Macaca mulatta: one gene and its partner. The main gene of each other region encodes a partner of the protein of the gene in region 2 in a complex. Links are inferred from orthologs where the notes say so. Each region holds a gene or a part of one and is shown on either strand. Other genes may lie near its edges.

Region 1 (4,243 bases), on a different chromosome or scaffold from region 2:
GAGCCTTGGGCCCACCCACACCTGCCACACCCTCCACCAGGGCTAGTCCCACCAAGCCACATACCTTGAAGCCCTCTCGGGTCACCTGGCCCTTCTGAAAGTTCCTCATGAACTCAGCATTCTCTGCCTGGGTGTGCACCTCCTTGGTGGCCTCCTTCAGGGCCTCTGACAAATCCTGGGGCATGCTGAGGAGGAAATGGGATAGGTGAACACAAAGCTGGCTGGGGGTGGGGTCCTCCCCAACTGCAGGAGCCACCCACCTGTAAGCAGGCCTCCAAGGACTCCCATTCTTATTCAGGCCACATTCCCAATCGCTTTAAGATGCAGCCTTGTGGCTGGGTGCAGTGGCTCACGCCTGTAATCCCAGCACTTTGGGAGGCCAAGGTGGGCGGATCACCTGAGGTCAGGAGTTCGAGACTAGCCTGGCAAACATGGTGAAACCCCATCTCTACTAAAAATACAAAATTAGCCGGGCATGGTGGCGGATGCCTGTAATCCCAGCGATTATGCCTATAACTGCTTGAACCCCGGAGGCAAATGTTGCAGTGAGCTGAGATCACACCACTGCACTCCAGCCTTGGTGACAGAGAAACTCCATCTTAAAAAAAAAAAGAAAAAAAGAAAGGGCCAAGCGTGGTGGCTCACACCTGTAATCCTAGCAGTTTGGGAAGCCAAGGCGGGCAGATCACCTGAGGTCAGGAGTTTGAGCCCAGCCTGGCCAACATTGGTGAAACCCTATCTCTACTAAAAATACAAAAAAAAAAAAAAAAAAAAAAAAATTAGCCGGGTGTGGTGGTGGGCGCCTGTAATCCCAACTACTCAAGAGGCTGAGGCAGGAGAATAGCTTGAACCCAGGAAGTGGAGGTTGCAGTGAGCCGAGATCACGCCACTGCACTCCAGCCTGGGCAACAGAGCAAGACTCCATCTCAAAAAAAAAAAAAAAGCAAAAAAAAAAACCCAGAATCAACAACAACAAAAAAACAAATTCAGGCTGGGCATGGTGACTCTTGCAGCCTTGTAAACACTCTTCAGTCATTAAAACACTAACTAGGCCAGGCGCGGGCGCGGTGGCTCAAGCCTGTAATCCCAGCACTTTGGGAGGCCGAGATGGGCGGACCACGAGGTCAGGAGATTGAGACCATCCTGGCTAACGTGGTGAAACCCCGTCTCTACTAAAAAATACAAAAAACTAGCCGGGCGAGGTGGCGGGCGCCTGTAGTCCCAGCTACTCGGGAGGCTGAGGCGGGAGAATGGCGTGAACCGTGGAGGTGGAGCTGGCAGTGAGCTGAGATCCGGCCACTGCACTCCAGCCTGGGTGACAGAGCGAGACTCCGTCTCAAAAAAAAATAAAATAAAAATAAAACACTGAATAATACAGTCCCCCAAACCAAGGGGGAAATCCTGGTACCGGTAGTTCCCAGTGGAGAGGAGGAGGAGGTACAGCATAACCCAGGAAAAAGCAGAGGCCCCATGAACGCGCATCTCAAAGTTTGTAATTGCTTTGATTGGCTTTTAGACCCAATATTTAATTCAGTTATTTTGTTAAAGTTTCAGATGCAAATCTCATGACCCCCCTATCATGTTATGCTCATCATGAAGACGTCAGGGTTAAAAATTCTGAAAAATTCTGCTTTAGTTAAAGAAAAAGTCTCGGCAGGGCGCAGTGGCTCAAGCCTGTAATCCCAGCACTTTGGGAGGCCGAGACGGGTGGATCACGAGGTCAGGAGATCGAGACCATCCTGGCTAACACGGTGAAACCCCGTCTCTACTAAAAAATACAAAAAAAACTAGCCGGGTGAGTTGGCGGGCGCCTGTAATCCCAGCTACTCAGGAGGCTGAGGCAGGAGAAAGGCGTAAACCTGGGAGGCGGAGCTTGCAGTGAACTGAGATCTGGCCACTGCACTCCAGCCCGGGCGACAGAGCAAGACTCCGTCTCAAAAAAAAAAAAAAGAAAGAAAGAAAAAGTCTCTCCGGGAGTATTTCTGTCATGGGTCCGTATCCCTGCGTCCCCATAGAACTGTCATTTTTCCCTTTCCTCCCGCCCTGCTTCCCGGAACATCATCCCCTGTTCTACAACACAGCTGATCAAATTCTTGGGAGAAGCGGCACACGCCTGTAAGTCCCAGTTAACTCTGGGGGCTGAGGTGGGAGGATGCTTGAGCCCAGGAGTTAAAAAAAAAAAAAAAAAAAAAAAAAAAAAAAAAACCTAAGAAATTCTTGAAAGAAGGGAACGAGCGAGACCTGGAGGTGGGCAGGCCAAGGTTCAACACCCAGTTCTGACACCTGCTGACTGAGTACTCTAGGGTATGTCGCCTGCCTGAACTGGGCAATCCTTATTTGTGAGACGCGGAACACCGTAGCCAGGGTGATGTCTGGCTCAGGTCCTCCGTAGCTAGTGAGGGACAGATGCCACCAAGAGAACCAAGCATGCTCTCCCAGGCTAGCGGAGCCCCAGGGATCTAGATTCAGCAGACAGCAGCTCCAAGCACACCTCAAAAGTTGGATTAAAACAAAATTGACTCCCTCACAGGGAAGCCCCAGAGATCTAGATTCAGCAGAGAGCAACTCCAAACACACCTCGAAAGTTGGATTTAACAAACATTGGCTACCTCAAAGGCTGGATACTCTAGGGACACTCCCATCTTGGTCCCCAACCGCATACCAGGGTGCCAGGCATGTAAATCACCGTTCCTCCCTCCAGCCACCCTACGGGCACAGGCAGGATCAGAACCCCGCGCCTCCTGACTCCAGGGCCCAAGTTTCTGGCTCCCGGGCTCTGTCGCTGCGTGGCAGTGTCCCGGGTGGGACTGGGACGCCAGCTGGGAGGGGAGGGAAAGGCGCCCGTCCCGCGCCCCGCGCTTGCCTGTCGGGTTGCAGACGCTCCATCCGGCCGGTGCTGGGCTCGTTCGTGCTGGCTCCGCGGGCGGCGGCTGCTCTGAGGACGCTCGAGAGGAGGCAGGCGTTGACTGTGCCGGAGCCGCGACCGGTCACATTTATGCTCGGCGGGTCACGTGGGCCAGGCGGAACAGCTGAGGCCCACTTTCTGGCCGGGCGTTGCAACACCCGCAGGGGCCCGCGCCCAGCCCGCCCCGGGCCAGTGTGGGGTGGAGAGGAGCAGTCATATGACCCTGGGGAAACAAAGTCTGGCCATAGACTTTTAGAAAAAAAAAAACACACACACACACACACCTTAAGGAAATCTGAGAAGCTGCAGCCTCTGGGTGTGATTTTGCTCCTTCCAGAGCCCCCCCTTCTGCTCCCTGTCCCCTTGGGACTTGATGCACCCCAGGCGTCCCAGAAGGTTCCAGAAAGCTGGGAGGCAGCGCTGCTCAGAGCAAGAGGCTGGTGGGTAACATCAGGAACTTAGCAACCCCAGACCCTGCTGTCTCCAGCTCCCTAAAATGCCACCTTCTGGAGTCCTCTGCTGACTGCTTGCCTCCTCACACCCCCTTTAAATGTACATTTAGGATCTGGTTTTTTAGTTCCTGTCAAAAAACAGAGACTCCAGTATTTTCATGGTTCATCCCTACAACTGACCTGTGGGGGTAGATCGCTCCCATTTTGCAGCTGGAGAAACTGAGGCTCAGAGGGGTGCAGTGGTGTCACACATAAAGCAGGAAGCCAGTGTCCAAACCCAGGGAGGAGACTAAGTCCCCGCCTGCCTCCTCCACACTCCGGCAGCACCTGGTGCCCGCCTGGACTGGGACACCTGTCATACAAACTGCTTCCCTGCTGGGATGCGTGGGACACTCTTCCAGGCACATTCAGGTCTGACTTATACTCAGTGCCTGCTCAGGGCCCAGAGCAGAGCTGGCCCTTGCTGATCGCCTATTGAATCAATTCTTCATGAGGTGGACTGCTGAGAACTTGGGGAAAAGAGGGTCATTGGGTGAACCCAGAGGACAAAACAAATGGACCAGATGATTCATAGATTTCATAGAGTCATTTCCTAATGCTATGATTCTCATTCTAATGTTTTTTTGTTTTTTATAAGATGGCTTTCAGGCCTGGCATGGTAGCTCACACCTGTAGTCCCAGCACTTTGGGAGGTTGAGGTGGGAAGATTGCTTTGAGCCCAGTTGAGGTGGGAAGATTGTTTTGAGTTCGAGACTGGCCTGGGCAACATAGGGAGACCCTGTCTCTATAAAATAGAAAATAAATTAGCTGGGCATGCTGGCACATGCCTGTGGTCCCAGCTACTTGAAAGGCTGAGGCTGGAGGTTCGCTTGAGCCTGGGATGTAG
Region 2 (3,650 bases):
TGGAGTCTCGGTGCAAGGGCCGCCCAGGTACCCGGGCTTCAGGCCTAAGGAGAAGCTCAACCCAGGGCCTTCCTACAGGCCGAATCCTGCAGCTGCCTGGACCATGCAGGGCGCCCTGACTGTGGCACTCACCATCCAGGTTGTTCAGGGACATGACGACATCCAGGTCGGCACCCAGGATTTTGCCCAGCTGATTGACGAGGGCAGAGTCGTTGGCCGGGTACACAGCCACGTGGTCCCCAGATTCATACCTGGAGGGAGATGCCAGGCTCGGGAGGGCAGAAGGCCGGCCCTGCCCCGGGTCAGGAGGCCCAGAGTAAGGGTTCAGGGGGTGACGGCGGCAGCTGGTACCTGATTTTGGAGTCCGAGATGTCTAATTCCAGGTGCATGAGGTGGCGCTCGGTCCCCTGGTTCAGCTTCCGGTTGGTGGTGACTGCAGCCAGGAATGGATTCTTGGCATCAAAGGGGCTGGGTGGGGAGGAGAGAAGCGCAGTGAGCTGCCAGGGCTTGGATCTGAGTCTCTGTCCACAAGGACCCTTCTGGTTGCACAAAGCACAGGGAATCTCAAGAGATCACGAGGAAATCTCACCGGTTACATCAAGGGCTCTCCCAGCCCGATCCAATGCAGTTCTCTTTCTTTTTGAGACTGAGTCTCGCTCTGTCGCCCAGGCTGGAGTGCAGTGGCATAATCTCGGCTCACTGCAACCTCCACCTCCCAGGTTCAAGTGATTCTCCTGCCTAAGCCTCCTGAGCAGCTGGAATTACAGGCGTGCGCCACCACGCCTGGCTAATTTTTATATTTTTACTAGAGACGGGGTTTCACCATGTTGGCCAGGCTGGTATCGAGCTCTTGACCTCAAGTAACCCGCCTCGGCCTCCTAAAGTGCTGGGATTACATGTGTGAGCCACCTCGCCTGGCCCCAATACAGTTCTCTCTACAGTCCCACCACGTGGGCAGAGCTGGGTCATCAGTGTCTCCGTTTCCAAATGTGGAAGCTGAGGCTGGCCCTTAAAAGAACTGTGAGACCCAAGCTGACGGTGCCACAGGCTGGAAGGTGGCTGGGTCTCCAAATGAGGGGCACAGCTTCCCCACCCCCACATGTCCTGGACTACACCGTGGACGAGACAGAAATCTGCACTCCAGAAAGCCACTGAAATGCGGGGCTTCTTGCTCCAGCCAGGCTGGGGCAGGCCTACAGAAAGCAGGGCAGCTGGTATTGGATGCAGTGGCACGGACTTCCCTGGGTGGCTCAGGCAGGAATCTGGCCAGCACCCAGGGGTCATCAAGGGCACAGAGGAACGCTAGGTTTTCCCCAAGTCTATCTATGGAGACAGATTCTAAGAAAATGAGCCCAGCTGCCAAAGAGGATCGTAGCCACAGAGCCCAGTGCGCTGTGTCCTTGTTGAGAAGTGGGACGCGCCCTGCGGCCCTGGGCAGTGTAGAGTAAGGTGGCTAAGTGAGCTCAGTACAAACTGGGCGAGTGCCAGTCTTCCGGGGCCGGGCCCTGGACAGGCACTGCGTCAGGGCATGGAGCAGCTGCCTGGCTCTCGGGCAGTTCCCCTCTCTGCTCTGGGCCTCATGCCCTCCCTGTGTAGGGACACTCACACCCACTCGTGGCACGGGGTCTGGTGAGAAGGGCCCTGCGGGGATATGAGGATACACGGCAGACTGAGTCTGGGATGCACCAGCGGCCATAGAGCCGTCTGCCCCAAGCCACATTCCCTCCACTCACGGCTTCTGGTTCTCGTAGCTCTTCAGCCGGCCCATCTCCCCCACGTACACCTTGGCCGCGTCTACGTCAGTGTGGACCACAAGCTCGTACTGGCGAATGCTGGAAGGGGAAGACCGAGGGTGAGGCCGGGAAGCAGCAGGGGTCAGTCCTGAGAGGGAGGGGCTGGACTACAGGGGAGGTGGCGCGTGGCCTTCGGGGCAAGGGCCCAGGTACATACGACAGGAGGCGGGGGAGCCCCTGCTGCAGATGCGCAAGAAGGGCAGGCGAGGGAGCAAGGAGGGAGGTGGCATGGAGCTGCCGGGGGTCAGGCGCCCAGAAGCCGGGGCAGGGCTGGGCAGGCTTCTGGGAGATTCTGGGAGAAAGTAAGGAAAGCCTGGGCAGCACCCAGGGGCCATCGAGGGCACAGAGAGGAACGCTGTTTTTGGCCAAGTCTATGGAGACAGATTTTAAGGAAATGAACCCCTCTGCCAAAGTTGAACCTAGCCTCAGAGCCCGACGCACTGTGTCCTTGTCGACAGGTGGGGTGCGCCCCGCTGCCCCGGGGCAGTGCAGAGCAAGGTGGCAGAGTGAGTCCTTGGCTGGGACCAAGGTCCCTCCTCGACCTCGCTGTGACCCACTGCCAGCCCCCATTCCAGGGTGGCCACCCTCGGCACAGGACCAGCCCAGCCCACCCACCGGTGGCACCTGCGGGCCCTCGCTCACCTGGACTCCTCGCCAGTGGCTTCCACCCCAAAGTGCTCGCACACGGCCGGCCAGAACTGCTCTCGCCAGGTGATGAAGTCCTCCTCCAAGCTGGGCCGAGGAGAGGAGGGGGGAACGGCTCAGGGCAGGCCGATGTGGCAACAATACCTGGTGCCGGGCACGCCCCGTCCCCAAAGCTCAGGACTGGGCACCAGTGACATCAACCCAGAGCATCAGGAAGGCTCCAGGGAGTCGGACAAGCCGAAAAGCAACACCGGCAGGGGCAGGGCAGAGGCGGGAGAGCCCCTTCCCTGTGTGGGAGGTGCGTGTCGCTGAGTCTCAGCTGACACAAGGGTGTGCGTGCCCCTCACGTTCCACGGCCCTTGCCGAGGCCCACAGCGCTGATCAGGGTGGCAGGGTGGGCACTCACTTCCCATCGTCGTCGCCCAAGCCCAGCTCAAAGATGCGCTGGGCGCCGAGCTGCTCCAGCCGCTTGTCCACGTACTTGCCCATGGCATTGAAGTGCTCGTAGGTTTTGTTCCCAAGACCAAACACCTGTGTGGACACAGGGGCCGCTCTGAGGCCTGGCCCTCGGCCTGACCAGCGGGAGGTGCCATGGGGGCGGGGTGGGAGGCCCCACAGCGCTGGCTGAGCTGCTGGGAACACCTGCAGGCCTCCATCCCATCAGGCGCCTTGCACTGCGAGGAACACTGGGCCACTGAAGAGGCTTCGTGTGGGTGACCTGCAGCCCACAGCCTGCCCAGTCCACCGCCAGCCTCAACCTATGGGGAAGTGGAAGCAGCCCACCCTCCCCACTGGCTGGGACTCCAGCTCCCCTAGCCCAGCCAAGTCTCAGTCGTCCGGCCAGAACCCTCTTGCCTTTAGTCTCCAGCACCCAATGTCCCCTGGAGCTGAGGACAGGGAGGGGACACTCTCATAGTGCTGGGGTCCAGGGCAGAGGAGAGGGTCTCACGAGTGGCCTGCCCTGGCTGCTGAGAACGGGGTGGGGGTCTGGAGGGCTGCCTTTCAGACACGAAGATCCGGAGGCACTGCAGGCCACCGGGAGCCCACAGCAGTCTTTGGGTGACTCACCGCAAACTTGACCCCAGAGAGATCCACGTCCGTCTCCTGGAGCCAGTCGTAGAAGTCCTGGGCATTGTCGGTGGGGTCCCCCTCGCCGTAGGTGGCCATGCAGAAAACCACCAGGGCGTTGTCGATCTCCGGCAGGCTGCTCAG

What was found.
Region 1: the proteins of POR (region 2) and HMOX1 are in contact, whole or in part, in a crystal structure (PDB 3WKT), measured with the Rattus norvegicus proteins. The link is inferred for Macaca mulatta from reciprocal best matches to the Homo sapiens genes POR and HMOX1. Residues at the interface, in NP_113764.1 of Rattus norvegicus: Thr88, Thr177, Asp208, Asp209, Arg313, Arg514, Lys515, Gln517, Arg519, Leu520, Phe522, Lys523, His626, Lys665, Met667, Thr668, Lys669, Gly670, Tyr672; in NP_036712.1 of Rattus norvegicus: Asp12, Ser14, Glu15, Gln38, Ala75, Pro76, Glu81, Lys149, Ile150, Lys153, Ser171, Asp173, Asn174, Thr176, Lys177, Phe178, Lys179, Gln180, Leu181, Arg183, Ala184, Arg185, Asn187, Thr188.

Annotation. Positions count from the first base shown.
Region 1 is NC_133415.1:16,160,446-16,164,688, forward strand, and holds the start of HMOX1 (heme oxygenase 1), read right to left. Parts: upstream 2,969-4,243; 5' UTR 2,887-2,968; coding exon 2,864-2,886; intron 1,965-2,863; exon of another isoform or gene 1,675-1,964; intron 955-1,674; exon of another isoform or gene 755-954; intron 452-754; exon of another isoform or gene 186-451; coding exon 65-185; intron 1-64.
Region 2 is NC_133408.1:50,268,824-50,272,473, forward strand, and holds part of POR (NADPH--cytochrome P450 reductase), read right to left. Parts: coding exon 3,507-3,650; intron 2,970-3,506; coding exon 2,845-2,969; intron 2,526-2,844; coding exon 2,436-2,525; intron 1,833-2,435; coding exon 1,734-1,832; intron 469-1,733; coding exon 352-468; intron 252-351; coding exon 133-251; intron 1-132. UniProt on the Homo sapiens protein: This enzyme is required for electron transfer from NADP to cytochrome P450 in microsomes. It can also provide electron transfer to heme oxygenase and cytochrome B5.